Regions from separate parts of the Mus musculus genome. Here all the other regions are reported to be linked to region 6. Evidence: microRNA targets listed by miRTarBase, many of them from high-throughput screens and not tested one by one. Region 6 holds a microRNA gene; each other region holds the end of a gene's coding sequence. Distances are between the middles of the regions.
The links. The annotated mature microRNA mmu-miR-804 reads UGUGAGUUGUUCCUCACCUGGA and lies in region 6 at 1,834-1,855, opposite strand. An mRNA with a match to its seed (bases 2 to 7 or 8) in the 3' UTR can be bound and repressed. Matches are read on the target gene's strand: a 7mer-m8 pairs with bases 2 to 8, a 7mer-A1 pairs with bases 2 to 7 and ends in A, and an 8mer does both.

Region 1: the mRNA of Ooep is a reported target of mmu-miR-804. Seed matches in the 3' UTR shown: 7mer-m8 at 597-603.
Region 2: miRTarBase lists Mcm5 as a target of mmu-miR-804. Seed matches in the 3' UTR shown: 7mer-m8 at 2,204-2,210.
Region 3: miRTarBase lists Gdpgp1 as a target of mmu-miR-804. Seed matches in the 3' UTR shown: 7mer-A1 at 3,273-3,279, 7mer-m8 at 3,108-3,114 and 7mer-m8 at 2,222-2,228.
Region 4: the mRNA of Cdr2l is a reported target of mmu-miR-804. Seed matches in the 3' UTR shown: 7mer-m8 at 2,653-2,659.
Region 5: miRTarBase lists Knop1 as a target of mmu-miR-804. Seed matches in the 3' UTR shown: 7mer-A1 at 3,538-3,544 and 7mer-m8 at 4,389-4,395.
Region 7: miRTarBase lists Arhgap19 as a target of mmu-miR-804. Seed matches in the 3' UTR shown: 7mer-m8 at 3,806-3,812.

Annotation. Positions count from the first base shown.
Region 1 is chr9:78,374,803-78,377,802 of GRCm38, reverse strand. It overlaps Ooep (oocyte expressed protein), which reads left to right. Exons shown (of 3, transcript NM_026480.3): 3 at 112-900. The coding sequence ends at 248. Among named protein-coding and RNA genes, the nearest start is that of Ooep, 2.3 kb to the left of the region's middle. RefSeq lists an enhancer at 2,393-3,000 and cis regulatory regions at 1,324-3,000, 1,324-3,000.
Region 2 is chr8:75,126,149-75,130,800 of GRCm38, forward strand. It overlaps Mcm5 (minichromosome maintenance complex component 5), which reads left to right. Exons shown (of 17, transcript NM_008566.3): 16 at 89-216; 17 at 1,075-2,291. The coding sequence ends at 1,176. Among named protein-coding and RNA genes, the nearest start is that of Mcm5, 19 kb to the left of the region's middle.
Region 3 is chr7:80,238,346-80,242,997 of GRCm38, reverse strand. Gdpgp1 (GDP-D-glucose phosphorylase 1) reads right to left here. Exons shown (of 2, transcript NM_178752.3): 2 at 1,578-4,652. The coding sequence ends at 3,615. Among named protein-coding and RNA genes, the nearest start is that of Ttll13, 5.7 kb to the left of the region's middle.
Region 4 is chr11:115,392,726-115,397,377 of GRCm38, forward strand. Cdr2l (cerebellar degeneration-related protein 2-like) reads left to right here. Exons shown (of 5, transcript NM_001080929.1): 4 at 1-98; 5 at 621-3,407. The coding sequence ends at 1,512. Among named protein-coding and RNA genes, the nearest start is that of Gm32013, 6.2 kb to the right of the region's middle.
Region 5 is chr7:118,842,190-118,846,841 of GRCm38, reverse strand. It overlaps Knop1 (lysine rich nucleolar protein 1), which reads left to right. Exons shown (of 5, transcript NM_023197.3): 5 at 748-4,625. The coding sequence ends at 1,059. Among named protein-coding and RNA genes, the nearest start is that of Iqck, 11 kb to the left of the region's middle.
Region 6 is chr11:50,355,966-50,360,617 of GRCm38, forward strand. It overlaps Mir804 (microRNA 804), which reads right to left and starts at 1,914; the gene lies at 1,820-1,914. It overlaps Cby3 (chibby family member 3), which reads left to right and starts at 1,796. Exons shown (of 2, transcript NM_029691.1): 1 at 1,796-1,838; 2 at 3,075-3,737. The coding sequence starts at 3,289. The coding sequence ends at 3,711.
Region 7 is chr19:41,766,974-41,771,625 of GRCm38, reverse strand. Arhgap19 (Rho GTPase activating protein 19) reads left to right here. Exons shown (of 12, transcript NM_027667.3): 12 at 1,430-4,652. The coding sequence ends at 1,440. Among named protein-coding and RNA genes, the nearest start is that of Gm19424, 22 kb to the right of the region's middle.

The DNA of each region.
Region 1 (3,000 bases), not on the chromosome of region 6:
CCCCCCTGCTCAGCCATAGGCACCAGTCTTCCCAGATTCCAGGTCCAGAAGCCCTTCTCTTTAAAACTCTGCGCCCCTCCCGCCTGACTGTTGGTGTTGATCCTTTTCCAGCTGTGAAGGTGAAAGAAGTTGAAGAGTTCTTGAAAATTCGTGCCTCCTCAATCCTAAGCAAGTTAAGTAAGAAAGGGCTAAAACTGGCTGGCTTTCCGCTTCCGCTGGAGGGAAGAGAAACACAGATGGAGTCTTAAATCACTACACGTATTTTCTTACCCGCCTTCACGAGCACCTCCTGTTTATTTTTCTTTGCAAATAGCAATTTGTAGAACTATTCCAATATAAAAAATTTTTTTTGGTATGCTGTTGGTTTGATCACATACAGTAAAATTTATAAACACTTGAGTATTCAGTTGATGGTTCGGGGAGTATGTAGGTTGTATTCCTACGGTTTCTAACAACACTTCAGTCTGGCCCTCAAGAATGGCACAGTTGACTTAAAAGTGGGCCCTAACTCCTGTGTCAAGCAAGTTTTTTTTTTTTGTTTGTTTTGTTTTGTTTTTTCGAGACAGGGTTTCTCTGTGCAGCCCTGGCTGCCCGTGAACTCACTTTGTAGACCAGACTGGCCTCGAACTCAGAAATCCGCCTGCCTCTGCCTCCCGAGTGCTGGGATTAAAGACATGCACCACCATGCCTGGCCCAAGCAAATTATTTTAAGTTACCCAGTAGTTTGGGAAAAGGGCATCATTAAAATGTCAGCTCTTGATCCCTTTGTCCTTCCTTATTGAGACAGAATATCTATGTCGCCCCGACCGTCCTGGAGTCTCCTATTTAGACCAGGCTGGCCTTGAACTCCGATCTACCTGCTTCTGCCTCCCAAGTTCTGTGATAAAGGTGTGCTCCACCATTTCTGGCTACCCTTTTGTACTTTTTAACCTACTCCAGTTAAGGCAGTAGTCTCAACCTGGGATCAGAATATAATCCTGTATATCAGATATTTACATTACAATTCAGAAGAGTGGTCGAGTTATGAAGTAGCAAAGAAATGTACGATTGGAAATCAACACAACGCGAAATGTATTAAAGGGCCTAAGCATTAGAAAGATTGGGAACCATTGATTTATAGTGTGCAAGAATTCACTTGGGAGCTGGGCAGTGGTGGTGCAATGCCTTTGATCCCAGCACCTGAGGCAGAGGCAGGTGGATCTCTTGAATTTAAGGCCAGCCAGAATTCTGGAGAATCCTTGTACCAGGAATGGGGTTGGACAGGAGAATTCACTTTGGAAGGGCCTCAAAACAATGTCCTGGGCCCCTTCTCCAGTGATTCCCCGTGAGAGGATACATTAATTTGCAGCTCTAACATGCTCAGGATGCTGAAACATGACTTTGGGGCAATCATTTCTGCTCAAGGTTGCTAAGCTGTTACTATGCTTCCTGTTACCTGGGCCCCACCCCAGGAACTCCGGTTTTCTCACAGAAATTTGTCATACTTTTTTTTTTCTGGTGTGAACTTGATTTAAAAAAAGTCAATACCGTTTAAGCAGATTGATCATCATTAGCAGATTTATGAATAGGTTCATGCATAAAACTTAAAACTTTTTAGTAACTTCTGGACAAAATTCTATGTTTCTACCAGAATTTGTATTTATTAGCCTATACTTGAGCCCCCAAACTCAGGACCACAGGCTATGAGTAGCATATTTTCAGATAAAGCTTTGCTGTTTTTATTTATGTGTAAGGGTGGTTTTGCCTGTATCTATCTGTATGTCTGTATGTGCACCACGTGTGTGTCTGGTGCCTGCAGAGGCCAGAAGAGAGCATCAGATCCCTCCGCAACTATTGTTAGCTTCCATGTGGGTGTTGGGAATCAAACTTGGGTCCTTGGAAGAGCAACCCGATGCTCTTAATCACCAGGCCATGATTCCACTTCACAGATAGAACCGGCCTCTTTTTTTCCTTCCTCCCCCCCCCTCTCTCTGACAAAGGCTGTTTTTGGTTTTTGTCGCTCTCTTCAGAGACCCCAGACGAGGGAGGGCATCAGATCCCATTAACAGATGGTTGTGAACCACTCTGTGGTTGCTGGGAATTGAACTCGTGACCTCAGCTCTTAACCTCTGAGCCATCTCTCCAGCCCCAGAGCCTTTCAAAAGGGGCTAGAGTGGTGGCTCAGCAGATACAAGCACAAGTCTCAGAGGAAAAAGGGATGCAATGAATATAAAATTAAGTCATTTCATCACTATACCTGTGAACATGCACTCCTAAAGAAAATGTAAACAAAGGTGTGAACCTGGGGAAGATCATGTGATGACCAGAGTAGACCCAGACACTAAAGCAGTGACAATTCCATTTTGGACTTCTAACTCTAATTACAGGGACTCATTTCTGTTGTTTAAACTGTCTGGGTTATTTTGTTGCGATAGCCCAAAGAAGTTAACACATTTAACAGATCTGTGCTGGATTCTCTTATCCATTTGCCAATATTCTGTGCATGTGCACCCATACACACACACACACACACACACACACACACACACACACACACAGACTTGCAAGGAGAGTCCAGAGGTTAACTGATGTCTGCTTCAATCTCTGTACTTTTATGTTTTTGTCTGTTTGTGGTTTTCAAGAATAGCTTTCTTTGTGTAGCCTTGATTGTCCTGGAATCCTATCTTTAAATCTGTGTGGCCAGGGAACTCACCTGCCCCTGCCTCCTGGAGTGTTGGAATTAAAGGTATGGGTCTCACTCCTTAGGGAGTGGCCTTGGATGTTGGGAACTTGCTCTGTAAACCAGGCTGGCCTCAAGCTTTGAGATCTTCCTGCCTCTGTCTCCTAATCCTGAGAGTAAAGGAGGGGCCACCACACCATGCTCCATTGTAGTTTTTTGAGTCGGGGTCTTTTGCTGAACCTAGACCTCACCTATTAGGCTAATTAGTCCAGCTGGTAAGCACCAAGACGCCTCTATTCTCTGCTTTCTCAGCACTAGGGTTACATACAGGTGTGGCCTGG
Region 2 (4,652 bases), not on the chromosome of region 6:
CTAGTTAGAGGCTGTCATCTCTCTGGCCCTTCCAGTATGGATGAACTGGGGTTTCTAGCACCCAGTTTCCCTATTGCACTCTTGACAGGGGTGGAGGGCTTCACTACCCAGGAGGACCAGGAGATGCTGAGCCGCATTGAGAAGCAACTCAAGCGCCGTTTTGCCATTGGCTCTCAGGTGTCTGAACACAGCATTGTCCAGGACTTCACCAAACAGGTGAGTGAGCCTTTCTAACCCTGGGTCTACAAGCCAGGCCCAGGATACAGAGGATGTCCTGCTGGTTCTCTTAGTCTGGTTCCCACTCAGCCATCACATACAGTGTTCTGTGCTCAGCAGAGGGGTGCTGGGATGGGGATGTTTGAGCCACTGTTCCTTTTGTAGGAACTGCTACAGTCTACAGTTGGGGTTGGCTATTTATAGGGAAAGGAGGAAGACAGGTCTGTAGAAACCAATACCCAATTTTCCCATCTCTTAGGTTTTCCCTTGTTTAGATCCTTACATGGTAGGGAGGACCAGAAACAGATGAGTTAGCCTTGCAGCCCATTGGGAAGAGGGCTACTGATAACATGCACAGGAGGTACTGTTTGGGGTACCAGTAGGAGCCTGTGCCCTTTAAAATCATGAGGATAGCCCTGGTTTCTGTTTCTCGTTCCCTTCCCTGTGTATCCTCTCCGTTTGCTCCTGGAAGTAAATTATACAGTAACAGATACTGGCCCTCTATAAGTGAAGAGACTAGTCTTGCCTGAGGCTGGGGCTGGAGAAAGCTTGACTTCTAGGGTCACAGGGACTTAAGTCCTAGCTCACTTAATTGCTATATGACCCAAACAAGTGACAGCCTGTGCCTATTTCTTCCTCTGTAAAATGAGATTATTCCTAATACTAGGTGCATAAAGTCGATATATGTACTTACCTAGTACACAAGAGGCATCATCACATACACACTTTTCTGAAGTCAAGGGAGAATGGAGGTGGATATTTTTTGTCTGTTTAAAATTGTCTATGATCCGGTGATGCATCAGGTCCCTTGGGTCATAATGATATACCTGTGCATCTGTCTTGTGCTCCCTCCTACAGAAATATCCAGAGCACGCTATCCGAAAGGTGCTGCAGCTCATGCTACGCAGGGGTGAGATCCAACACCGTATGCAGCGCAAGGTGCTCTATCGCCTCAAGTGAGCCCATTGCCCATCAACCCTCAAGCCTGAAATGCTGCCACCACCCTATCTCCCAGTCAGTGCTCCAAACCTCCTTTTGCCCTGCCTCTCCACCTCAGACTGCAGTCTGCAGCACATCTGCAGCCCCTGGAAATGTACTTTGGTCTGTTGGCCTCATACTGTGTTTGAGTGTCTGAGGACTCTCTGCTCTGGGTGTCTATCCCCTGTCATGCCTTCTCAACAAGATGAGTCTGGAGCAGGAACAGGCCCTGGAATGTAGATGGGTCTGTATATTGGCTCCCGGGCCACTCACTGCCAAGCTTCTTTGTATGTACAGAGGTAATAAAGCAATTGAGTCCCTGGCTGCTAAGGTCAGTGGACCCAGTATGATAGTAGTGCTGTGTGAATACAAGGTTGACTCTTTCAGCTTTCTTCAGCAGCACCTAATGTGAGAACTGGATCATTCATTGAGTTGTCTGCCTCAGTTTCCTAATCTGCAAACAAATTTGATGAAGCTGAGCTCAGTGAGTGAGTGGCTGTCAGTGAAAACCCAAGTAGACTCCAATGTAGAATGTCTCCAGGGCTTTATTTATAGCAAGTGGGCCTCAGTGGTGTCTGGGGAAGGAACCAGACGTCAGGGTTTATCAGTTAAGGAGCTATGAGTACCTGAGCAAGCTTCAGCACAGTAGGAGGTATTAGTGACAACATTGTTAAAAGAAGACACCCAACACCTCGTATTACCAAAATGCCGAAAATTATGATTTTAGAAATCTATAATTTATAAAATTAAGGAAAAGTCAGTGAAATATTTAAGTATTTGTTATGTAAAGTACATTTATAAATGGGAAGCTAGTGCTGAAAACACTGCAGTCACCAACAGTAAAGTTACTGTAGGAGGAAGGCTTGAGAGAACAGGAAGTACATACACAGGCCTTTCTCGTAGATGGCGTCCTGTGCTGAAATGGCTGTTGCTTGAGGTGTTTGCTTTTTTTTTTTTTTTTTTTTAGTTTTTTGAGACAGGGTTTCTCTGTGTAGCCCTGGCTGCCTGGAACTCACTTTGTAGACCAGGCTGGCCTCGAACTCAGAAATCCGCCTGCCTCTGCCTTCTGAGTACTGGGATTAAAAGTGTGGGCCACCACGCCTGGCTGAAGTGTTTGCTTCTTACTCCCTCCTGGAAATGTGCTTGCTCCTGACGAATGGCCATAGCCATTTCTTTTTGATTGGTCTGCAAACTTGGAACAGAGTGTGCTTGTCTGGAAGGGCAGGCTTGGTAAGAACATTTCATCCTACTTGAGGCCTTGAGGATGCATGGACATGCGGGCCTGCAGGAGTGCTTAGTTGAGTGGAAGATGCCGATATGATACCTCTTTCTTGGTAGGCCCTGGCTGGCAGGCACAGTGTTAAGGGAGACAAGCTTGGCTTGCAGGGAAGTGGGCAGTGCTCGGTGTGCCACAGCACGAGGAAAAATGCCCAGGAAAATATCCAGGAATTAAGGATTGGTTGGTTTCTGAATCTGAACTGGATCCTAACCTTTAATTCTACGAGACACTGGCCTGAGCTGCTGGGGCTAAGTTACTGTAGCCCTGCAAGTATGGCCAAGATGGTCTTAGGACACACTTTCCCCTCTTTTCCTCACCTTCCCATGAGTGTCTCAGATAAGTAGGATTTGAAGCAGTGCTCTGAGGACTCAGCCCTGCTGCTTGCTCTGCTTTCATTGCTTCCCCAGACAGCAACTTGATTTTCACTTTTTTTTTTGCCTTGGCATGCTTGGGCGTCCTGGTGATTCCTGGTCTGGTCCCTTGCCCAAGGTATAGATAGACATTTCACATCCCCTGGTTGGTCTTTCAGCTTAAATATTATTTGTCCTTAGACATATATTCGTGTCACGCAGTGACAGGATTGGTACGGGCCCAAATGGGCTGCAATGGCCTGTTATGTTAGCACCTGAGCTCTGCTGCATCTACCATCACATATTGTCTGACCCAGACTGCACGTGGGAGAGGATTCTACTGAAATGCATGAGGTGTGGAGGATTTCTGGCAAAATTCTAAGCAACTGTTAATGACAAGCTGTTGGGAATCATACACACTGTCACCTTAGCCACCATAGAAGTCATACGTACAGTGAAGATTACAGGCCAGACATGGAAGTTAGCATCCCTGTAACTCCCATATTTAGGAGATGGAAGCAGGAGGATCAGGAGTTCAAGGTTGTCCTCAGTTTCAAAGTGTTCAAGGCTACAACCTGGGCTATAAGAGATTGGTCCTGTTTCAAAAACAATCTACATAAAAATGTGTTAGTGAAAATACTATTTTAGAGGAACATTTACAAGTACCAGAATAAGGCCAATTCTCTTTTTTTGCGGGTGTGTGTGTGTGTGTGTGTGTGTGTGTGTGTGTGTTTCGAGACAGGGTTTTCGTATAGCCCCGGCTGTCCTGGAACTCACTCTGTAGACCAGGCTGGCCTCGAACTCAGAAATCTCCCTGCCTCTGCCTCCCGAGTGCTGGGATTAAAGGCATGCGCCACCACCGCCCAGCCCAATTCTCTTATTTTTAAACTATTTTTTATTTTTATCTTATGCATCTTGGTGTTTTGCCTGCATGTATGTCTGTATGAAGGTGTTAGATCTTTGATTTGCAGGTGTTTGTGAACTCTATGGGTGCTGAGAATTGAACCTGGGTCCCCAGGAAGAGAAGCCAGTGCTTTTAGATGCGGAGCCATCTACCCCATCCCAAAGAAACAACAAAAACAAGGAATTTCAGAAATGCAAAAGATGAGTTTTCTCAGACTGTTGAGGTGGAAGTGGCAGAAGATGCACACTTCACAGGGTAACTTTGTGGTTTTAGATGTAAGTTTTTCACTTCTATTAAGTATGTTATGGTTTTAGATGTAAATCTTTCATATTGTGCGTGGGTGTGTATGTGTTGGTCTTAAATAGCATGCCACATGGGTGGAGCTTAGGAGGCAACTGCATAGAGTCTGTTCTCTCCTTGCATGTTTACATGGGCTCTTGGGAAAACTCAGGTCATCCGATGTGTGTGACAAGCACCTTTACCTGCTGAGGCATACAGATCCGTGTGCTTAAACATGAACACTGGTAGGTTGGTATTTATGAGCCAAGGGTTGCAGCTCAGTGGTTGACTGCTTTCCTGGCATGTGTGAGGCCAGGTTTTCAATCCTGGCACCACAGGAACATGGTATGGTTCAAAGGGTAGTTTTCAGTTAAATCAGTGAGGGTTTTTTCTTCTACTTGAAAGATGAGGCGGTAAGGTAAAGTTCTGGTGTAAGTACATGGGCCCAAACCCAACTGGCCTGGGTTCAGATTGTAACTCAGCTACTTACTGTACCTATCCCAGCCTTAATTTCCTATTAAGAAATAGGGGTGCTGGGTTTGGTGGTGCACGCCTTAAACACCAGCTCTAGGGAGGCAGGCAGGTGGATCTCTTAGGTTTAAGTCTAGCCTGATCTATAGAGCAAGTTCCAGGATGAGAGCTCACA
Region 3 (4,652 bases), not on the chromosome of region 6:
AAAGGAAAAGCATATATTTAGGACTTGATGTCGTTCTCAAGATCGTGGTTTCTGGTAGTAACATCACAATTCATATAAATACATTTGCATAAAAAATAAGGGAGGGGCTTTCAGACAGCTCAGCAGGTAAAGGCAGCCAAGCCTTTGACCTGAGTTAGAGACTCCTTGGGATCACTAAGGTAGGAGAGAAATGGCTTCACAAAATTTATCTTGTGATCTAGACACACACACAATAAGTTAATAAATAAGATACATTTTTTAAAAAAGATATGGGGTTGGGTTGTGGATGAATTGGACAGGGTGATGATGACCAAAGGCAAACAAAGCCCTGGGTCTGACCTCCATCACCCCATAAGACAGGTACAGACTCCTGTGTTAGACTCCTGTGACCCTAGCATATGGAGGTGGCATGAAATTCAGAAGTTGAAGGTCAACTTGAGCTCCATCGTGAGTTCTAGGAGTGAATGAGAATTCCTGGGGGGGGGGGGCAAAGTTGAGTGTTTTGGCACTCAGAGGGAGAGGAAGGCAGACATCTGTGAGTCTGAGGCTACCCTGGTTTACAAAGAAAATTCCAGAACAGCCAGGGATATGTAAACAAATCCTCTCTCACAAAAACCAACCAATCCACCAAACAAAAAAATAAGTAGATCTCATAAACAGTAACCATGTCTTTAAGACGTTCCCTGTCTCTGTCGGAACGTTGGTTGGCTTGGCTTGATCTTGTGCAAGTATGGTAGTCAGGGCTCTCTAAAGGAACACAGCTGTAGAGGCTGTCTCACACTGGAAAGGCCAAGAATCCAGCAGCCGTTCAGTCTACAAGGCTGGATGTCTCTATCTGGCCTGAAGGATTCTTAGAGAGCTGCAGTTCTTCAGTCTCGGTTGGAATCTCAAAGACGTGGGTCATAATATTTGTGGGTGTTTTTGTTTTTTTGTTTTGAGAAGGGGATATTTCTCTGCGTAGCTCTGGCTGGCCTGGGACTCACCATGCAAACAGGTTGGCTTCAAACTTTCATAGAGTTCCGACTGCCTATGCCTCCTGAGTGATGGATTAAAGACGATATGCCACCTAGCCTGGCTTGGTTTTGGTTTGGTTTGTAAACAGAGTCTGCTCAAGTAGCCCTGGATAGCCTCCAAGTCACAGATACCTCCTTCCTGAGCCTGGCTCAGCCAATCAATCTTAACTGATGAGCCATCTCCCCATCCGTTTGTTTGTCTTTTTTAAAGGGGGTAAGGCTTGTGACTAAAGCTGGCCTTGATTTTGTAGCAGTCTTCCATCCCAGCCTCCCAAATGCTAGGATATCTGTAATCAACAATGAGACTTTTTAAAACTTCCAGGATTTACAGAGACTTGGTTGTGGAAAGATCCCTGAGGGCCACCAACTGTTAAAGGCAGCATCACCACGGTAGGAAAGGCTGACTGGAGAGACTCCAGTATACACTGTACCAGGTCTGGCATCTCATTGCGTGTGCTGCAACCTCCACTCTGCCGTTAGCTGCCTGACCTAAGCAAGTGACTGGGTCAACAACCATTTCTTCCTCTGTTGAATGGAAGCAATAAAAGGACCAACACTTCTTTAAGAATATTAGCCAGCTGTGGTAGCCCATGCCTTTAATCTTAGCATGTAGGAGCCAGAGGCAGTTGGATCTCTGTGGGTTGGAGGCCAGTCAAAGCTACATAGTGAGACCTTGTCTCTCATAACAAGCAGAACACTTGCTACATTTCCTTGGTGCATGTGCGGGAAGTGACAGACCCATTTGCAGGAGTTGGTTCTCCTTGAACTGAGTGGATCCTAGGGATTAAACGCCTGTCACTGTGTTGAGGGCACACAGTGTTGATACCTCCTGAGCTATCTCTGTGGTCTATGACCAGCATTTTTAAAAGAATTTTTGAGGTAGTCTCAGTATATAGCCCAGACTGGCTTTGAACTCACTAGTCAACTGTTATTGGGGGCTTGAAGAAAGGATAGTTTGGTTTTTTTAAAATTTTTTTTAGAGAAGTTGACCACCTGGATGAAGCAGTTGCAAATACAAGGGGGGAGGGCAAAGTCAGCCAATGAACCAGCCATAGGCAAAGCTGGAGTCCCAGAGATTCAGGAAACTAAAACAGGGTTCTTTGATTTGAGGAGTTTGATGGTAGCTTGGGCTACAGAGCTTAGTGGCTCACATTCAGGAGGCAGAGACAGGCTGAATCTCTGAGTTCAAGATCAGTTTGGTGTACAGGGTGAGTTTCAGGACAGCCAGGGCTACACAGTGAGACCCTGTAAGAGTCAGTGGCGCACCAAGGGACAAGAGCAAAGGTAAGACAAGGTAGCTGGATGTATCTGTAAGCCATCAGAGCAGAGGCTGATGGTTCACACCAAAGGCGAAGTCCAGAGAGCAACCTGTGTAGCAAGACATCTAGTAGAAGCACTCTAGGGTCGCCATCAGAATGGTTGTTTGCTAGAAGTGTTTTGACCTTGAAGAAATCATTAAGAAAAGAGTGACTGTTTTCTACTATCTATAGAACTGTTTTTCTGAAGGAGTTTTACAACCTTTGCAAAGTCCTGGTCACTGGACAGTCCTGGCACACTGGGAATGTGCACTGTTGGGTACTGCAAACAGTATACAATAAGAACTGAAGCTGTGGGCAGTGATGTCTTCCTTCAGGAAACACATAAGACTAGATTCGGTGTGAGGAATTTTTTTTAACCAAAAAACCCACAACTTTTGTGTAACAATCAATATATGCTTTTGGGTGGCCATTTGATATTGAGTCCACAGAGCCTGGATCTCCCTGTAAGGCCATATTTCACCCTGGAGTGACCCTCTTTCTTAGATTGACCTACAAGTCTCAGAACACTGACAAACCAGGACTGTGAAATTCTCCCACTCTCCATTTTAAAATTTGTTTTTTTTTCTTAGCAGGGTGGTGGTGGTGCAGGCCTTTAATCCCAGCACTCAGGAGGCAGAGGCAGGCGGACCTGGTCTACAGAGTTCTAGTACAGGCAGAGAAATCCTGTCTTGAAAAACAAAAGAAGCCAGGCAGTGGTGGCGCACGCCTTTAATCCCAGCACTCGGGAGGCAGAGGCAGGCAGATTCCTGAGTTCGAGGTCAGCCTGGTCTACAGAGTGAGTTCCAGGACAGCCAGGACTACACAGAGAAACCCTGTCTCGAAAAACAAACAAAAAAGGAAAACAACAACAAAAAAACTATTTTTATATTTACTTTTTAAAAAATTTTGTTTTGAGATATATTTACGTGTGTGTGTGTGTGTGTGTGTGTGTGTGTGTGTGTGTGAGTGAATGTATCATGGTGCACATTTTAAAGTCAGAAGACAGCCTTTACCCTATGGGTTCTGGAGGTTGAACCCTGATCAACAGACTTAGCAGCAAGCACTCCTCCCCCTGAAATGGTCAGATCTGGCCCTTCATGGCAGGGCTTGTTACCCTGGGGCTTCTCAGGGAAGAGGCAGCAGAAACATTCATGAGAACACATTCTCTCAGTGCTCTCTCTGCAGTCCTTATGTGGGGAGGTGGGAAGAAGGTCATGACATGAAATGCACAAATGGACTGAATTCACATTGGCCTTTGGGAAAGGGCCTCGAATTAGTCAGCAAAGAAAACACTCCTGAAGAATCACAGCTCTTCCTGAGCCATCAGGGCTACCAGCGCTGCCCGTACCTCACCTGCCTGAGTTTCAGGCAGCAGACAATCCTGAATGAGGGCCACTGCAGCTGCCTCTGTCAAGCTGCTGAAGTCCTGTGATGTTTTGACAGGGAGGTGGCCAGCCAGCTCACAGAGGGCAACATTAAACGCCCCACTTTCCTTTATTCCAAAGCTGGACTTCCGGGCCCACAGAATGACTCGGATCCCACTGAGATCTGAGGTAGATGATGTCGGCCCGGGGGGAGCTCCCCGGGTCACAAATAAGTTATGTGCAATCTCACGGTCACTCAGGTAGTCAGTAGCTCGGCATACCCTGCTAATTAACACTTCCAAATCCGGCCCTGGCCCACTGGTGTAAAAGAGAAAGCCAGGAGCCGGCAGGGCCTGCAGCAGATGTATACAACCTTTGGGGTCTAGGGGTGTGCTTGGCGCTCCCTCCACAGGCAGTGGGTGGGCCAGGTAGTAGCAATGCAGGTGAAGATGGTTCACAGAGGCCAGGCCTCCCAGGCTGTTGAAGCCGACCCTGAAGCCTGGGTGCAAGCTCAGTAGGACAGCTTCTAGCCCCACCCGCAGCACTCCAGGCAGCAGCCGTTGGGGAAGCCCCTGAGCAGGTGCAGGCACCAGCAGCACATGACCCCACTCCAGGGGGCTGACATTGATCACCACAAGGACGTCGTCCTCTTGCTTTGGAGTGGCTGGGCCTTTAGGTTCCCTTTGCATCCGGAAAAGGACTTCTCCAGGTCGAATTTTATTGAAGTTAAACTGTTCCGGGTCAAACTCCTGCCTCACACTTCTGATATTCTGGGGGCGCCTCCTCTGTATCCCTCGCTCTATATTCAGCTGAGCTACAAACCCCACGGAACCGGGGAGGATTTGGGTCTGCAGATCTTCTAGGCGGTACCGAAACAGGCCCAGTTCCAGCCGCTGCCTCCACGCAGAGCGGAGGGCAGAGTCGAAACGGGATAGTGGTACTGTGTCCACGGCACTAGGTGAATCCCTGGGCCACTG
Region 4 (4,652 bases), 65 Mb from region 6:
CGAGGCCTGGAGCAACTTCGGATTCGCCGGGAAAAACGGGAACGCAGGAGAACCATCCATACCTTCCCCTGCCTGAAGGAGCTGTGCACAAGTTCCCGGTAGGCAAGGGCCCTGGTGTGTCATCTTAGAGTCCCGAGAGAGCTGGCTGAGGGATGAAGGAGGAGATGCATGGTGGACAGTGGCTGGGAAGGAGGACCGTTTGGTCCAAGCCCTCAGGATGCTTGCTAAGGACAGCCATTGGTGTTACTAACACAAGCCATTTGCATCCATTTTCCCTACTAGTCAGATGAGAAAAACCTTCTGACCTCGGAGGAGTTAAGCACTGTATTTATACAGGCACGCGCTCAGAATGTGTGCTATGCCTAAATGGATCCCCATCCTAGTTAGGAGAAAGAGATAAAGAGCAAGGTGAGGCTGGCGATGTAGCTCAGTGAAAAACCTGCTTGTCCGACGCTTCACTGTGTCTCCCAGTGCGGAAAAATCCTGGATCAATCTGTATAGGTCATCGTACTCAGACACACTGTGGAGGGATAGTTAGAGGGGTGGAGGGTGACTGAGAGAGGCCAGTGTTTGACCACCTACTGCTGCCTGCCTCCCCCCCCTCCCCCCGCCCCCAGCAGATGTGAGGATGCCTTCCGCCTACACAGTTCCTCTTTGGAGCTGGGTCCTCGGCCGCTGGAACAGGAAAACGAACGGCTGCAGACCTTGGTTGGGGTGCTCCGTTCCCAGGTGAGCCAGGAGCGACAGCGCAAGGAACGAGCGGAACGTGAGTACACGGTGGTGCTCCAGGAGTACACGGAGCTGGAGCGACAGCTGTGTGAGATGGAGGGCTGCCGCCTGCGCGTGCAGGAGCTGGAGGCCGAGTTGCTGGAGCTGCAGCAGATGAAGCAGGCCAAGACCTACCTGCTGGCCCGGGAGGAGCACCTGGCTGAGGCTCTGCTGGCGCCCCTCACTCAGGCCCCTGAGGCCGATGACCCCCAGCCAGGCAGTGGAGATGACTCTAATGCCCAGGATGGTGTCTCCTCGCCTGCCGCTTCCCCCAGCCACGCAGTGCGCAAGAGCTGCAGTGACACGGCGCTCAATGCCATAGTGGCCAAAGACCCAGCCAGCCGCCATGCTGGCAACCTCACGTTGCATGCCAACAGTGTGCGCAGGCGCGGTATGTCTATCCTGCGGGAGGTGGATGAGCAGTACCACGCGCTGCTGGAGAAATACGAGGAGCTACTGAGCAAGTGCCGGCAGCACGGTGCCGGAGTGCGGCACGCGGGGGTGCAGACCTCACGGCCCATCTCCCGGGACAGCTCCTGGAGGGACCTACTGGGGGGCGAAGAGAGCCCGGGAGAGGGCAAGGCGGGTGAGAAGAGCCTAAGCCAGCACGTGGAGGCTGTGGATAAGCGGCTGGAGCAGAGCCAGCCGGAGTACAAGGCACTCTTCAAAGAGATCTTTGCCAGGATCCAGAAGACCAAGGCCGACATCAACGCCACCAAAGTCAAGACACACAGCAGCAAGTGACCCCTCTCTAGGCCTGTCGCCTCCCTCCGCCTCCCGACCAGAGGGGTCCCTCATGCCTGGCTGGCAGCCTCCTGGCAAGTGAGAAAGCCCTTTATGCAGCAATATATCATAGCAGGTGGCTGGGGACACTGCATATTCCCTGCTGGTGGCTCGGCTCACCTGTTCTGCCTCCCTTGGCCACTTTGCTTCAGCTCAAAGGCACAGCTCAGTTTAAAAGCCAAACACACTCCCCACCCCGCCACTGCCACTCCACCACTGTCCCTGGGGGCTTTTCAGCTCCCCCAGCCCTCAGCTTCTGGACCCCAGGCTTCACCCTCAGATTGCTGCCAGTCTTCTGCAAGCCTTTCTAGCTTTGCCCTCCAAAGTTGTTTTTGTTTTTTGGTTTTTTTTTTTTTTTTTTCTGAGAGATTTGCAATGCAAGGCCTCCTGAAGCCTTGTCACAACTGGAAACACTTGAAAGGGGACCTCAGAGCCAGCCATTGCTGGTGTCTGGAGTCTCCCAGACCACTCACTGCTTCTTGCCAGTTATGACTGTCATTCCCTTCGCACCAGCTGTACCACTCCCAGAGGTCTGAGCAGGCCACAGATAGCCCCCACCTTGCAGAGCAGGAAGTTTAGCCAGGCTCGAGTGTATCCCCTCCAGCCCTGGCAAAGGGCTTCTGCTCACCACAGATCTATAGCCAGTCTGAATAGAGGAAGAGAGAACCCCACAACAGCCATACACGGGTAGTGTCCCTTTCCTCTCAGAGCCAAGTTCCATTCCTGGAGTTATCCTCTAGGCATGAAGCCTTCCAGGGGCCGGGATGGTAGGGAGTTTCACCCCTTCCTCCCTCCCCAAGCCTGCAAACCACCTTTGCTTTCATTCCTTTCTCTGCGCCTGCCCCCATCTCAGGGACCATGATGTCTCATCCAGTCCTCTCTTCCTCAGGCCACCCAGGGACAGTTCACATCTGCAGCCTTCAGAATGTCCTGTAGGAGTGTCACCAACCCAGGTCCAAGTGTTCATGCCTGTCCTTCACCAGGGACTGTAGGACCCTTACTTGTTTTGTTTGGTTGGGCTTTGATCTGTTTTTTTGTTTTGCTTTGTTTTGTTTTGTTTTTTTGAGACAGGGATTCTCTGTGTAGCCCTGGCTGGCCTGGAACTCACTCTGTGGACCAGGCTGGTCTCCAACTCAGATCCTCCTGCCTCTGCCTCCCAAGTGCTGGGATTAAAGGTGTGATCTACCACTGCCGGGCCCTCATGTTGCGTTGTGTTCTTAAGTTGAGGAAGAACTGTCTCCTCTTCCACCTTTCTACAGAATGCCTCTTCTTTACCTCCCGCCTCTATGGGGATGACTTTTGAGGCCCCACCTGGGTCAAGGGTTCAGTATTTTAGTCTAAAACTTCAGAAAGTCAAGCATCACTTAAGACATGCCCAGGGCTCCAGCTTGCCCTCAGCAGTCCTTCAGGACTTCTGGTTCCTTCCGCCACCCTTCTCAAGATTCTAGAAATCAAAGGAGCCATACAATCCGGCAGGAGGCAGTGACTGTGGTCTCAGTGCTGGGAGCCCAGGAGGAACCGTCATGCCTTACCTCCTTCTAATGGGTAAAGGGGCTTTCTTATCAAGCATGTCTGACATCCCTGGAGAGGCTACGCTGTTCCAGGTGGCACTGGGATGCCAGTTGGCAGCTGGATCCTTCTGTTCACACGACTTGGAACCTTTTGTCCTTTGGGGCTGGGCACCTCCAGACCCTCTGTGTGTCCCTGTCATCTGGGGATGGGGAGGAATTCAGGCCTGTTCACTTCCCCAGTTCTGTAGCAGCCGATCAGCGTCACCTTTGAAGTATACATGAGAGAAATATATTTACAAATGCTTTATTCTCTTCTTTAATAAAAAGTGCACCGGTATTCTAGAAGTCCAAGTGACCCTGGGTCTATCGTTTCGCCTCCGAGTCTCACGGGCCCCCTGCCCCTTGCCATGCAGCACTGCGGATGACGGGTGTGTCCTTTGAGGTTGCTTTGTGCCCTGAAATCTCAGCGTTCTCATGACTACTCACCTATGATTAGACAGCCTGCAATCAGCCCTCAGGAAAGTCTGTGTCTATGAAGAGCCTGCTATGCCAAGCACTCTGGTCAACAAAGCACAAAGGGTCTGGATCGCCCTAGAGTTTACTTTCTGGCTTGGGGAGAGTCCCCCCAAAGCAACTACAAATAAAAGCAAGTGACCTAACAATGGGGGCAGGAAGGTGGAGCTCTATCAGACACAGCATTCATGATCAACAGTGTGGGGGGAGTGCTTGTCATTTTGAGACAGGATCTCATGGACGTTAAGTTAGACTGAAGCTTGCTATGCAGTGAGTGATGAGGGTGGCCTTGAACTTCTGACCCTCCTGCCTTTACTTCCCAAGTGCTGGGATTATAGAAATTTGCCACTACGTCCAGTTTCTCTGGTACTAGGGATTGAAGCCAGGGTTTTGTACTTGTTAGACACTGTCACTGGACCACACCCCCAGCTTCTTCCTCCCCCTCTCTCCCTCTTCCTTCTCCTCTTCTTCCTCCTCCTCCTCCTTTCTTCTTCTTCTTCTTCTTCTTCTTCTTCTTCTTCTTCTTCTTCTTCTTCTTCTTCTTCTTCTTCCTCCTCCTCCTCCTCCTCCTCCTCCTCCTCCTCCTCCTCCTCCTCCTCCTCCTCTTCTTCCTCTTCTTCTAGACATGGTTTCGGGACTGAAGAGATGGCTCAGCAGTAAAGAGTACTTTTTGTTCTTGCAGAGTACCTGGGCTCGGTTGCCAGCACCCAGATCTCAATTATCTGTACTCTAGTTTCAGGGGATCCAATGCCTTCTTCCGGTTTCTGCAGGCACCAGGCATACACATGGTACACATATATATACATGCAGGCAAAACACTCACACTCAAACAATCAAACAAATGAAAAAACCCAGACAGGGTATCACTGTGTACACCAGGCTGGCCTGGAACTCAGAGATCCACTGACCTTTGCTTCCCAAATGCTGGGATTAAAGGAGTGCACCACTGTGCCCTGACCCCACCTCTTATCTTAATCTGTGTAGATCGTAGATACAATATATGAGAAGACAGGTTTTTAAAAAGTCATAGAGCGACCCACAAAATGGCTCAACATGTAAAAATGACTCTATGTCCTC
Region 5 (4,652 bases), not on the chromosome of region 6:
GTACAAAACATATCCTCATTCCACATAGGGAGCCAATGTCAGACCAAAGCAATGATACCACCAAAGCCTGATAAACAGCTTAATTGAGGTTGCAGGATCCTGTATGGGTTACTTAGAAGAGCGTGATAGCTGAAAGGCAGCTGCATTACCAAGTCTACCCTAGCATGAAGGACATCTCATGAAGGCTAGAGCACTGGAGCATTCTATATGACTTGCAGGCAGTTCAATAGACATGCAGTCCTTACTGCTTATGTAGCCTTGAGGAGGGAGGGGCCTTATGAACCTGCCAAGTTTCAGGATTGCCTAAGACTTAGTGAGTTGTTTACTTCCTCGGTCTTAATAAGCTCCCCTCTCAGAATGAACTGCTTAAAGTCAGAGGATCAGTATACAACACAGGCTATATAGGAGGATCGCTGGAAGCTCGTGGCCAGCCAAGCACATGCAGCAGAAAAATCAATAGAGATCTTGAAGTGTTCTTGCTATCACCATGTGTTGGGAGAAGGTAGAGCACAGATTAGCTTGGTGTGCAGTGATATTTGTTAGAAGCCAATGATGGGCTCTCAGGCTGGTCATTCCCGAGTTGGGAATCATCTGAATATTATCACCCCCATTAAGCTCTAGGCCTCATTTCCTCACCTGTAATGTGGGAATGAGTAGCCATATTGAATGAGACAGTTCATTGCGTGGCTGAGAGTGAGGGAAGCTTTGGTCTTCAAGGGCAATGACAGCCTTTTACTTTCCACACAGGGAACCCAGTTTGGCCAGTGGGATACTGCCGGCTTTGAAAATGAAGAACAGAAGCTAAAATTCCTGAAGCTTATGGGTGGCTTTAAGCATCTGTCCCCGTCATTCAGCCGCCCTCCCAGCATGACTATCAGGTCCAACATGGCCCTGGACAAAAAGTCTTCAGAAATGCTCCAGCAGAGTCTGCAGCAGGACTATGACCGGGCCATGAGCTGGAAGTACAGCCACGGGGCTGGCCTGGGCTTTAACTCTGAGGCCCGAAAGGTCTTCTACATTGACCGGAATGCCTCCAAGTCTATCAAGTTGCAAGATTAAATATTATTGTCTTGTTCTTCAAACTGCATTTCTTGATCAGTTGCATCCGTCAAGTTGGCTTGAAATAGTCACCTGCAGTTATTGAGGACCAATAGGAATTGCTAAAGCCTCCTATTTTCTATGTTAAACATTCCACCTCCGGGTGACAGTATTTTAATAGTAGCTAGCAGTTGTTGGCACGTGGAGGGTCCTGACTATTTTCCTTGCATTGTTACACTAATTATGGAATGGGTGCTGTTCTCATCTCTATCAAGTTCAGGGATAAATAAAGTAATTAAACGGCCTAGGGTCACCTTCCGTTAAGTGCCATCAAGAGTACATCACCCAGAGTCACTCAATTATCAGTGCAGAAAGCAAGTGATATGCCATGACTTGCAAGTTTGTTTTCCTTCTCCCTTATCAGGAGGCAGGTGTGGTGCAGCAGGCAGACGTGGCCAGTACCTCTGAGCTGGCTTCTTTCCAGCCGTCCTCCTTCCATCTGACTGCTGTGCTTGGATTTGATGCTGCTGTATTGGCTGGATCTCAAGGCATTTTGGACAGTAGGTAATCCTGCGTATGGACCCATGACAGATTCTCAGCAGCATGTTTTGTGTTTGTGTTCACTAGACAGAAGACCTTGGACACTTGTGTGATGAAATCAAACATATAAGGGGTGGAGAAAAAGATACTTTGCTGCAGGCACCATACCCTCCCACCCCTCCCTCCCAAATCACAGCAATCTTCATGGAGCTCCTGATACAGAGACCCATGTGACATGATTTTCTCTCCCACCAGCTATTGGCAGTCTGGTATCAAGGTTCAGAGAAGGTTACTTTCCTGTTTTGGCCTGATTTCTCACAGGCAGAAACACTGGGTGGGGATGGAGGTGTTTGATGCTGCACTCAGCCAGGACATTCATTCATCCTTCCAGCACCGTCATCAGTGTTGATGCCTTCATGCTGCTAAGAAGATGAGAGACAATTCCCAGCATTCCAGAGATGGGAGAAAACCCTCTCTACAACTAAAGAAACTTCCGGCAGTCCCTCAGGGAACCTGTGATGGCGTCATTCAGCTTTGTAGTTTTTCCTGTATCAGCCCCCTTGGTAAGGAGATGCCCCTCAGGCCAGCCAGGGAGAGGGTGAGGTGTGCAGTACTGCCAAATGGGCAGCAGAGGTGTTGCTGTGCCCCCTACCTTGTTCCTGTCCTGTGGGCATAGGCCATATGTATGGCAAAGACCTGTTTACACCACTTTCCTGGAATGAACTTGGCTTCTCATCAATTCAGCCTCAAGATTCAGAAAAGACCACTTCCAGTCACGTCAATGGCAGAATTCTGCATTTGAGTCAACTTCCAGACAAATCTCCCTCGGCCTTGGTGAACTCTGGGAACCATCTGCATAACTCCAATAGCTTGTGTTCCCCACAAGTCACATTCCAGCCTAAGTGTCTCAGCTCATCAAAAACTTGCACATGGCAATCTTACGGGTGGTAGATGGTTTTCTATCTTATGTCACATATGCCTTGGAAGCTGTCATCAAAGTGTGAGAGCCAGATCTTTTTCTTAGCTGTTACACATACCTCAGTGCTGAAAGACTTGATTTTGTAGCTTGGTACCTCAGCGTTGACTTAGGTGCTCCACTAGCCCACCTTTCTCTAAGAATTGAAGTCTGTAGTCTATCTCCAAGGCACTGGAGGTAGGGTCAGTGATCTAACACAACCTTGAACTTGACTGATTCTCTCAGGCATTTCTTACCAGCTTGGTGGCACTTAAGCAATATCCTTGTCCAACAGTCACCAAAATCTCATGATTCTTAACACTTGTGCTTGAGCTGATTTCTGTGCTATATCTGCTTGGGCCCATGAGGCCCTGCCCTGAGGCTACATGTACAACCAGACTAACCTGTGAAAAGGCTCTCTCAGACACAGGTGTCCCTGCTCTTAGTACTACTTGGGTTATGGTAGGCAGGACACACACATACCCAGCAGAAGGGAAATTAAAGTCACTAATCACATGCTGCTATTATTATTGTTGTTGTTGTTTTTTTGAGACAGGGTTTCTTTGTGTAGCCCTGAAGACCATACCATGCTAGCCTTAAAAGTCACAGCGATTCACCTGTCTGCCTCCTGGAGTGCTAGGATTAAAGGTATACATCACTGCTGCCTGGCTTCCAGCCACCACTGGCTATCAGATAGATTTGAAATCAGATCCTTGATAACCTGAGCAGGTTCTTTTCTTCACAGTTCCCTAACTGATACGTAGCAGAAGATTTAGTGTGGAAGACACTTGGGAAGGAAAAGGCCACAAGCCAAGATCACAGGCAACGTACAGAAGCCATGCAGCATCTCTTTCCACCAGAGTACCCACAAAAGAACTTAGACATGGGGATACCTTGACCTAGCCCAGAGAAACCAGTGAGTTCTGACCAACAGCAGTCAAGACAGTAAAACCACAGGAAGTCACTGTGCTTGTAATTTCTTAAAGGAATAAGAACCAGGAATCACTCACAGATGGACATGAGGCATCCTGTTTTTCATTTCCTAAAAGTCTCTTTACATGTCCTTCTCAGGGGAAGTAGATGCTGTTTGTGGAGGCGGGCTTCAAAGACTGGACTGTCAGTAACACTTCTGCCCAGGTCAGCAGACTGTTGCAGGAGCCCCGTGGTATGTGTACCCAGTGTGAGGATAAGCCGAGGTTAACACAAGCAGTGGGAATTCCCCAGGCCAGTGTAAGCTGCTTATGCTGTTATCCTGGGCAGCCTTGAGGCAGGAGAGTAACGTACAAAGGATTATTTATGAATTTGCCAGTTATTTTTGAAAGAATTAGCATCACAGTGAAAGTGACATAAAATAATTTTAGTAGAAACAGTTTGGTGAAATAAAGGCCATTTGGGAGTATTTGAACAGCACCATAGTGCATTCTGGGTTCTGGCATGTTCACAGCAGGAGGAAAGGCATTTTTTAGCATCTGGTTTTTGTTTTTGAGACTGGGGCTCATATATCCCAGACCAGCTTCAAACATGTAACTGGGGACCTTGATCAGATCTTGATCCTCCTGTCTCTACCTCCTAACTACTGCCGTTCTAGGTCTGCACCTTGGCACTCTGTCTTATGTGGGGTCTTGTGTCTGCCAGGCAAGCATTCCACTGACTGAGCCATATCCTTCGCCTCATCTGCTCATTTTTGGTTTGGTTTTTGTTTTAAGAAATTGTATCAATTCCTTGGGCTGGAGGGTATTCTCATCAGATTGGCCCCAAATGTATATACAACAGTAACCCTGCTCTTTGTTGTTGTTGTTTTGTTTTGTTTGTTTTTTCGAGACAGGGTTTCTCTGTGTAGCCCTGACTGTCCTGGAACTCACTCTGTAGACCAACCTGACCTTGAACTCAGAAATCCACCTGCCTCTGCCTCTGCCTCCCAAGTGCTGGGATTAAAGGCGTGCACCGCCACCACCTGGCTGTAACTCTGCTCTTAAACTAGTAAAGACACAAGCTGTGTGTGTATGTGTGTGTGAGACTTAATAACTTCTACTTTCTGAGGTTAGTCATGTATAGTATTTCAGATAAATAAAATCCATGCCTAAAGCACAAATATAGTCTTTTGAATGTGTGTGTTTTG
Region 6 (4,652 bases):
TTTCTAAACAAGTCCACTTCTCCCGAATCCTTTCTTTCCCACTACTTCTGGTGGGTGGTGGGCTACAAGGGAGGTTAAAGCATTTAAGAACCACCATTAAGGGCCGGCGAGATGGCTCAGAGGGTAAGAGCACTGATTGCTCTTCCAAAGGTCCTGAGTTCAATTCCCAGCAACCGCATGGTGGCTCACAACCATCTGTAATGGGATCTGACACTCTCTTCTGGTGTGTCTGAAGTCAGTTACAGTGTACTTATGTATAGTAATTAATCTTTAAAAAAATCATTAAAAGTAGGATTTGAAAAAAATTAAAAAGTTACTGGAAGAGTATACAAATATCATGCAGGAAGCCCTGGGCTCAATCTGCCCCCAAAAGTTTCCATTGCTACACTCTGGACTAAGGTTGCACTAAAATTCCTGGAGGGCAATCTACATGTGTTCTAGAGCAATACCAGATTCCTTATGCTCACCTCCCATCCACCCCATTGCCAAGAATGTTGGCTTAAGGTACTGTGTGCCACAGCCTATAGGCTGGAGCTGCTCAGGAGACTAAGATGGGAGGAGGATCACTTAGGCCTAGGAGATTTGAGCCAGCTTAGGCTAACAAAGTGAGATCAGGTCTCCAAAAACCCAAGTAAGGGGCCTGAGATGGCTCAGTGAGGGAGGGGCCTGCTGCACAAGCCTGAGACCCTGAGTGCAGAACCCCAGTTCTCATGGGATTGAGTGAGTGTGGCAGCCTGCATCTCTAACCCCAGTGCTGACACGGGACACTGACACACACAATCTGCAGGGTACAGCAATGTCTGTCTGGAACTTAAGGGAGAGACAGAATGAGTAAGATCCCTCTGCCCTATCTTCATTAATACAACACATGACTTTCATAGCTGGCCAGAAGTCGAGTGGTACCCAACTCCCACCTTGTTCACAGAGTGCATCTCTGGGAGCTCTCTCTCACCTTTGATGTCACTACAACTCCAAGAAGACACTTCCCTGGCAAAGGTGGGGGTAGAAGATCCCTACAGCTTTTTGGCCAGCTGGCCTTTTGACTCTGCTAACTCCAGGTTCAGTGAGACTCTGACTCAAAAAATAGGGTGGAAGACCAGGCAGGTTGGTGCACTTTTGATCTCAGCACTCTAAGGCAGAGCAAGTGGATCTCTGTGAGTCTGAGGCCAGCCTGGTCTACAGAGCTAGTTCCAGGATAGCCAGGACTCCATAAAGATACCCTGCCTTTATGTTTATAATAAGTAAACAAACAAGTAAGGTGAAGAGTGATCAAGAAGATACTGGAGGTTAGCTTTTGGCCAGAGGTCACACTACCCATACTCCCACCTTCCACATAGAAGCCAGAAACATATGATTATAATCCGGCTGGAAGGCTAAGGCAGGAAGCAGGCAGATCCCTTTGTTGTTGTTTTGTTTTGTTTTTCCAGATAGGGTTTCTCTGTGTAGCCCTGGCAGCCTTGAACCAGGCTGGCCTCGAACTCTTGAAACCCACCTGCTGCCACTGACTGGCTCAGGAGGATTCTTACTAGCCTGGGCTACAGGGTAACCTGGGCTATCCTGTCTCAAAAGGACCTAAATCAAAACAAAGATTTAAACAAAATGAGGGGTGCGATTTTATGATTGAACGTCTTCCCTCCCCCAGAACAGTGCCTGGAGCACAGTCAATGCTCCGGAAACTTCCCGTAACTGAACACACTTCACTGTCTACACCACCTCTACCCTAGGAGGCCTGGCAGGGAGGCATTGTGAGTCACAGCTGGCAGACAGGTGGGTGCCATAACCCAGAAATGGGGCCAGGCCTGGGACAGCAGCTTGGGCACCGCCACCACATCTTCCAGGTGAGGAACAACTCACAAGGAATGTCAGGAAACAGTCTACTGGGGAAGTTGTAACCTCAAAGATGGATGTGTAGGGACTTCCAGAGACTCGCTCCATGAGTTAAATCAGGGGGTGGGGGAGAACACCTGTCTCTGCCCACCTGCACAATTCTGTTGGGTTTAATGAAGGTGTGGCAAAGGAAACCCGACAGCAGTTTTCACTCCTGCCCTCGATGGCAGGAGAGGTATTTGAAAAACCACACTGTAGAATCAGCACTTTATAGGTGTTGTGAGAAGAGTTAGGAAGCAAGTAAGATGGGTTCTGGTAGTTATCTGGGCTTTAGATTCCTATCAGTAGTTGGCTAGGAACAAAAGTTAACTCTAGTGTGCAGCATTCTAGTTACTTGAAAGCTAAGTATGGGTCTAGGCTAAGGCACCTACCTGTCTGTCCTATGATGTCATTGATTACACTGGATGTTAATACACGCCTTTCCAGCTGGACCAGGAACATCTTGAGGATAGACAAAGGCTGTGCTTGTGGTATCCTCTGTGCAGGCCAGACCTGGCATGGAGCAGGTGCCAGTGCTAGAATGTGCTAGACATCTCACCAGACAGATGCTCTGCCGAGTTCACACTAACCCTGACTTTGCAGCCATCAGCAGCCTCCCTTAAAGAATGACAACCACAATGTTCAATTTCCCTGTACTGTACCGAAAAATGCCCTCTGGCTCACCTTTCTAGCCTACGTTTCTGCTATTCTCGGAACCAATCCTATTTGTCGGCTCTTTCATGCATCTGGAACATGACAGCCCTTTGCCTCACAGCTGTCAGCAAGAAAAGGCCTGTCCTACTTGCTTGGCTACTGATCTCTACTTGTGGCCCCCTACCTGTGGTCTCTTCCAGCATTTCAGAGAACGTGGTTTCTGGGCCTTTACATTATCTCTTTTTTTGTTTGTTTTTCGAGATAGGGTTTCTCTGTGTAGCCCTAGCTGTCCTGGAACTCACTTTGTAGACCAGGCTGGCCTCGAACTCAGAAATCCACCTGCTTCTGCCTCCCAAGTGCTGGGATTAAAGGCATGTGCCATCACTGCCCAGCCCTACATTATCTCTTACACACCTACATCCTAGATAAAGGGTCCCGGGGAGGTAATTTTGGTGAACACGGCTGGTGTGACTATGCAGGAATGGGCTCCCCTACTAGCCTACAACTGCAGAGTCTAGCCTGAGCAGGCCGCTCACAGGCCATTTGCTTTCCAGCAGTGCCACTGGCTCGCCTTCACCATTCCAGAACATCAGGGTTCCAGACACCCGCGCGCCCCGCGTGGCCCACACCACCTTCACCCTGGAGGCCTTTGAGTGCCTGGCGGCGAGCCAAGCGGGCCGCCTGTGGAAACAGGTGAGGCAATTCTGGGTCGACCACTTCTCGCGCCGCTTCTCGCCGCGGAGGCCACCGCTGCGCCATATCTCATCCATGTCCACCTTCTATCTGCTGGACCACCGCACGCGACAGGCCGAACTGGGGCTCAACTACGGCGAGCCGCGCACCCGACTGAGCGACGAGGCCTTCGTTTTCCGCGGCGGCCGCTGGACCCCAGAGGGGAAGCGCGCAAGCGCGCGCACGCCTCTGCCCTCCTCCACCATCCCGGCCTGGAAGCCACAAGTGCAGCCGATTAAGAGCCAGGTGCTGCTGGAAGAGAATAACTACCTGAAGCTGCAGCAAGAACTGCTCATGGACATGCTAACAGAGACTACGGCGCGCATGCAACTGCTGGAGAAGAAGGTGGACGCGGATAACAACCCTGCGGCCCCGGCGCGCTCCTGGAAGAGAAAGATGCCCAAGCAAAGGGGCGCGGGAGTACTTATAATCCAGCCGCGCGCTCTGGAGTCGCGGTGATGCAATAAAGTTGTACCTAAAGCAGGGCCGCGAGTACGCGCCTCGCCTTGCCCCGCCCCGCCCTGGTGGCCCGGGTGGTCCACTTCCCTTGAGCATCCGGGTTTTCCTTGGGTGGAGCTGCGTGTGGCAGAGATAAGTAGGAGGGGGAGTTAAAGCGCGTGAGACGCTTGGGCAGTGCGGGAGAGGGCGCTTGGATTTTTCTCCAAACCTTAGGTTCTGCTTTCCCACACTCTTTGTTTTGTTTTCTATTGGCGAAGACTGTGATTTTATCATACGTGGAATAAAGACTTCTGTTTGACCCAGCATTAAAAAAAAAAAATGTATAGGAAGGGGTGGCGCACGCCTTTAATCCAAGCACTCGGGAAGCAGAGGCAGGCAGATCTCTGGAGTTTGAAGCTAGCCTCTATAGACCTAATTCCAGGCCAGCAAAAGCAACACAGAGAAACTAAAAAAAAAAAAAAAAAAAAAAAAAGCATTGGGGCCACACATAGCATATATGTGTGAGATGGTGTGTGTGTGAGTGTGTCTCAGGAAAGTGAGACATAGCTCAGTGTTAGAGCACTTGTCTAATTTATACAAGGCCCTATGTTCAAACTCCAGGACTATAATTCATTTTAGAGATGGGGTTAGGTATACCAGACTGGAACTCATAATATCCACCTGTCTTTCTCCACTGCCATTTTTTTCTGATAAAAATGATGTGTCACCACACCCAATAGCAAATAACTACTTAAACATGTTTCTAGTATACTGGATGTTGTAGAAGAGCTGATAATACCCAGGAGAGGCTGAGTCACGGTATTTGTGTATTTGACTCTTTGGGGGCGGGGTGGGGGGGCTCTTCTTTAGTGACCAAATGCACATCCCTTGTAGGAAAGACCCACAGTGGGTGGTGAACTCAGAAAGCAGAGGTCATGGGACCAGAGCCTCTGTCTACAGAC
Region 7 (4,652 bases), not on the chromosome of region 6:
GTCTAAGCTTCTACTCTTCTTTCTTGTATTCACCCTCTCAGCACCTGCTCTGCTTCCACAGCTCACTCCCAAATGACATCCTCAGCTCTGAACTCTCCAGCCTCCAGATGTGTCCTTTCTTACAGGACAGTTGATGGAATCCCTGCTGTTCTCAACACTAGAAATTAGTGCAGTGTCCCTGTCACCATCAACAGCCATGATGCAGTCTTCTGCTTAGCACAGGGCTTCTTGGAGTTCTCTGTGTGGAGCTGTCCTGTGCATTCATTGTATGGTGTCTAGCAGCTGTGACCCAGCAGATGCCACTAGCATCCTTCCCTCAGTTGTAACAACTGAGAGTTCCTCCAGATGTACCAGCATCCCTTGAGGATTCAGGGGCAAACTCACCCCAGATGGGAACACATTGATGGAGCACCCCTTCATCAAGGGGCATTATTTTCAGCAATCAAATCTTCCTAATTCTTTTTTCTTTCTTTTTTGTTTTTTTTTTTGTTTGTTTGTTTGTTTTTTTGTTTTTTGTTTTTTGAGACAGGGTTTCTCTGTGTAGCTCTGGCTGTCCTGGAACTCACTCTGTAGACCAGGTTGGCCTCGAACTCAGAAATCCACCTGCCTCTGCCTCCTGAGTGCTGGGATTAAAGGCGTGCACCACCACGCCCAGCTTTCCTAATTCTTTAAAGTCTAGGTGAACCTCTCCTCTCTGAAGCCTTGTCTGGCTAACCCAGCCAGCCAGAATAAGTTTCTGTTGAACTCGTGTCAACAGAAACAATCTAGGGGACAATCACATCAGTGGTGCAGTGCTTGCCTACCACATGCAGTGCCCTGGGTTCAGTTCCTAGTGCCGCCAACACACAGCTTTGCACACCCACCCATCCGCCAACACACACCCTTGCACATCACCCACCTACAACCCTTTTGCTTTCTCTTGTCTCAGTAGTGTCAGCAGCTTGCTGTTTTTGGTTTTAGTAAAGGGTAGTGCTGCTAATAGCAGGACCTCCGTACTCATTAGACGTGGGTCAGTTCTCTATTGTAGTGTGTGTGTGTGTGTGTGTGTGTGTGTGTGTGTGTGTGCAGTAGCTGATGGGGCAGGTGAGTTTCTGTGGGCTGCAGATTCCACATCTGTGAAACGACAGCGTACTACCCCTGCGGTGGGAAGCTGTGAGGACAAATGAGAAAATGGACACAAGGGCCTGGGGCAATAGCCATCACCACACACGCCCTACTAAGTGGTGACTGTTACAGTCAGTAAGAAGACATAACAAACTGGGTTAGACAAGCGGCGCAGACAATGTTTACTTGGTAGAGTCACACTCTCAAATTATTTCATCGTAAATTTGGAGAGAACACTAAGTGTAGATTTTGTGGCTTTTGGTGGGTATTAAAAAAAAGAAAGTTTTAAAGCATGTCTAATTGTCTTGTTTCTCTTTTAACCTAGGATTCTTTTGAAGGCTCTCTTTATTACTTCTGTCCTCTACAGTGAAGTTTCTCTTCAGTGGGACAAGTGTTATTTCTCTTCTCAGTGAAGCTTGGACCTGCAGCTGCTTGCTGCATTTTGACTTGTGAAAGCCAACTCATACCCTGACCCGACTGATACCTCTAACCCCCTCACTGGATGTCTCTGAAGCTGTGCGTCTGTGGAAGTGCTGTGCTCCGTGTTTGTTTTTAATGTCAGAAGCCACTAGTGCCTGCCCCAGCTTACACAGTGCAGCAGGTAGGCAGGGCCAGCCACACCTACTCAGTGTGCTTAGGTCGGTTGGTTTCTTCAAACAGGATATTTTGTGTTAATTGTTAGTAATATTTTTAAAAGTACTGTAGGTCTTAGTGGAGTATTATTATTTCCAACTGGTATTTGAGGCTTTCCTCTGTGTCAGTAACTGCTTGTTTTAGAAGCCATTATTTTGATAATTAAGCGAATTACAAGTTAAATGCTTTTGACCCCTTTTTATTTTAAGCTTGAGTAATCTCTTTATCTTTGTGTTCAAAGAACTTACAGCTTTCCTAGACAATCTATTATTTCTTGTGTCTAATATAGAGGACTTGACCTGGCAATGAGAAAGAGGTCAGTACAGTGTATTTAACACATCTCAGTTATTAAGCTGCACCCCATACCCCTGTCTTCCCCTTATGATGTGAGATGGCTGTGTGGTTGTTACCTTGGTGATGTGAGATGGCTGTGTGGTTGTTACCTTGGTGATGTGAGATGGCTGTGTGGTTGTTACCTTGGTGATGTGAGATGGCTGTGTGTTTGTTACCTTGGTGATGTGAGATGGCTGTGTGGTTGTTACCTTGGTGATGTGAGATGGCTGTGTGGTTGTTACCTTTGTGATGTGAGATGGCTGTGTGGTTGTTACCTTGCTTCTTTCATTATCATCCTCTCACCTAGAACATGGCTGGTGCCACTGATACACTCTGTGCCTGGTTACTGTCACTTTGGAAATGTCATGATCTGCTACTTAGAGGAGCTTGCTGCAGTGTGCATGTGGTGAAAACAGAAGCAGGCCGAGGGGCTGGTTGGCTTGGGTAGGATGCTGTCACTCATTCCTAGGGATCAAATGTGCTGCTCACCTGTCTCCTGAGAGCAGGTTGGCATCAGGAAAGGCACGAGTGGCAGTCTCTGCAGGGTCCCCAGAGGGAGCAGTTGTTATGTGTCCCCGTAGTCTAGAACAGTTGCTTCCTGCCCATCTCCTTGTCTGGATGGGTACAGGAAGTGGTGGAGCGTGGAGAGCCACTGTCTCCTGAGCCGCAGGTGGCAGTTGCGGATGCTGAGGTATGGGCCTGGCTCTGTGGAACTAACTGTGAAACCATGCTCACCCTACTGTGGGGAACCAGATACCCAGCAAAATACGGTTCCACACTGATGATAGACAGTTGAACTTGTGTTATTGTTGAGATGAAGGCTGATGTTGTCTATCTGTCGGCCCTCTCTTCCATCCTACACTGTTTCATTGCTGTAACAGCAGTGCTGAAGGAAATGTGATGTTTTCCCTTCTAGCTGGATAGTTTGGGAGCATGGAGGTGTGTGATCTATAGTGGATTTTAAGTTCCATTCTCTAAAGCAGTTTTAGGTCATCCTTAAGGATCTTTATTAGCAAATTCATTTGTCTAGGTTTCTGACTCTTTCTGGTGATGTTGTTACTAAGAAAAAGGTTCTTTTCTTTTTGAAATATATTTCTTATGCCAGGTATATAGTGAGGTCAAACAGAAACCTCCTTTGTGTTAGCAAATCAGAGATGTTCTCCTCAGCATGGAGCCTGCTTTCAGTGTACCCCACCATGCTGGAATGTAGCACTATGCAGGGATGCAAGCCAAGCAGTGCCTTGATGCAGCCAGGAGTTACACACTCTGTGAGCAAGAAAGAGAGAGCGCGGGACTGAGGAGCCTAGTGTGGGTAGAGGGAAGCGATGCCCAGGGATGGTCTGGGTGAGAGAGAGGTGCCCCATGCGCTTGCTCTCTGTGGCTGGCCTCTTGGGCAGTGAGTTACCACGTGCATTTGGGAATGTGGATTTCATTTATTTATTGGATAGTCATTACTTGCTGTAAGGGTATTTTAGGTCATTTTTTCTTGTAGAAGCTGTGATCCAGTGCAGAATAGACTTGAGGAAAAGCATAACCTTTTGAGTCTTGTAACATGTGGCTTTGTAACCTGTGGTATCTTCTTGGAAACGCAGACAGAAGCTCCATCGTCGTCACAGAAGGTTGCTGCCGTCCTTCTGACAAGGCGTACAGTTGCTGTTTTGAGCCAGTATTTAACTAATGTTTTTAACTAATGTTTGTTTGAGACAGGGTTTCTCTGTGGTCCTGGCTGTCCTGGAACTCACTCTGTAGACCAGGCTGGCCTCGAACTCAGAGTTTTCCTGCCTCTGCCTCCCCAGGGCTGGGATTAAAGGCGTGAGTGTAGTCACTGCCTAGCTGACCTGTGTCTTAAGGGTTTTTATTATATTTATTTTCCATGTTGGCGTAGTCTTTGTGACAGAACCTTTCTTTTCTTTCTGGGTTAATCGTCATAGGCTTTGATGTTGTGTCAAAGTGTCATCTGGTGGTTATTGTTGCCAACTATGAAGAGACAGATCCTATCTGATCTGTATCTGCACTAGGTAAATGAATAGAGGCTGTGGGCCCTTTCTCTGACGTTCCACAGAAGTGGATTTTCTCACTGAGACCAGTGATCAGGTTTGAACCCGCCCCCGCCCTGTCCCCCCATTCCCCATGTCACATGCACTGTGTAGGGCACAGGTGGGAGACAGTATTGGTTAGAACCAAGTGCTGGAACATTCTAGAAGCACAGCTGATGGGGCCTGAGGGAACCCACAGTGGTCCCTCCACACAGCATGTGCTATACTCTGAAGGTCCTCCCAGAGTCAGTCAGGAGTGATGAGGAAACACCCTGGGGGATGAGGCAGCACAGGATGCTGACTGGCAGGTTGTGTGCTGAGGTCTCTTTTCTGTGACATCCTTTCCTCTGGAGACAGCATCATCCCTGCTCTCCTACACTCTAAAGTCTTCAGACTGAAGTGAGGGTCCAGATCTAAACCAGCAGGACTGTCCCAGAGTTTGCAGAGAATCTGGCTTCCTAAGATGAAGGTTTTGAGTGACCTTAGTCCTGGTAGCCTGATGTCAGACTCCCTGTCAAAAAGCTGGCTTTACTAGGCAGCCAGTGC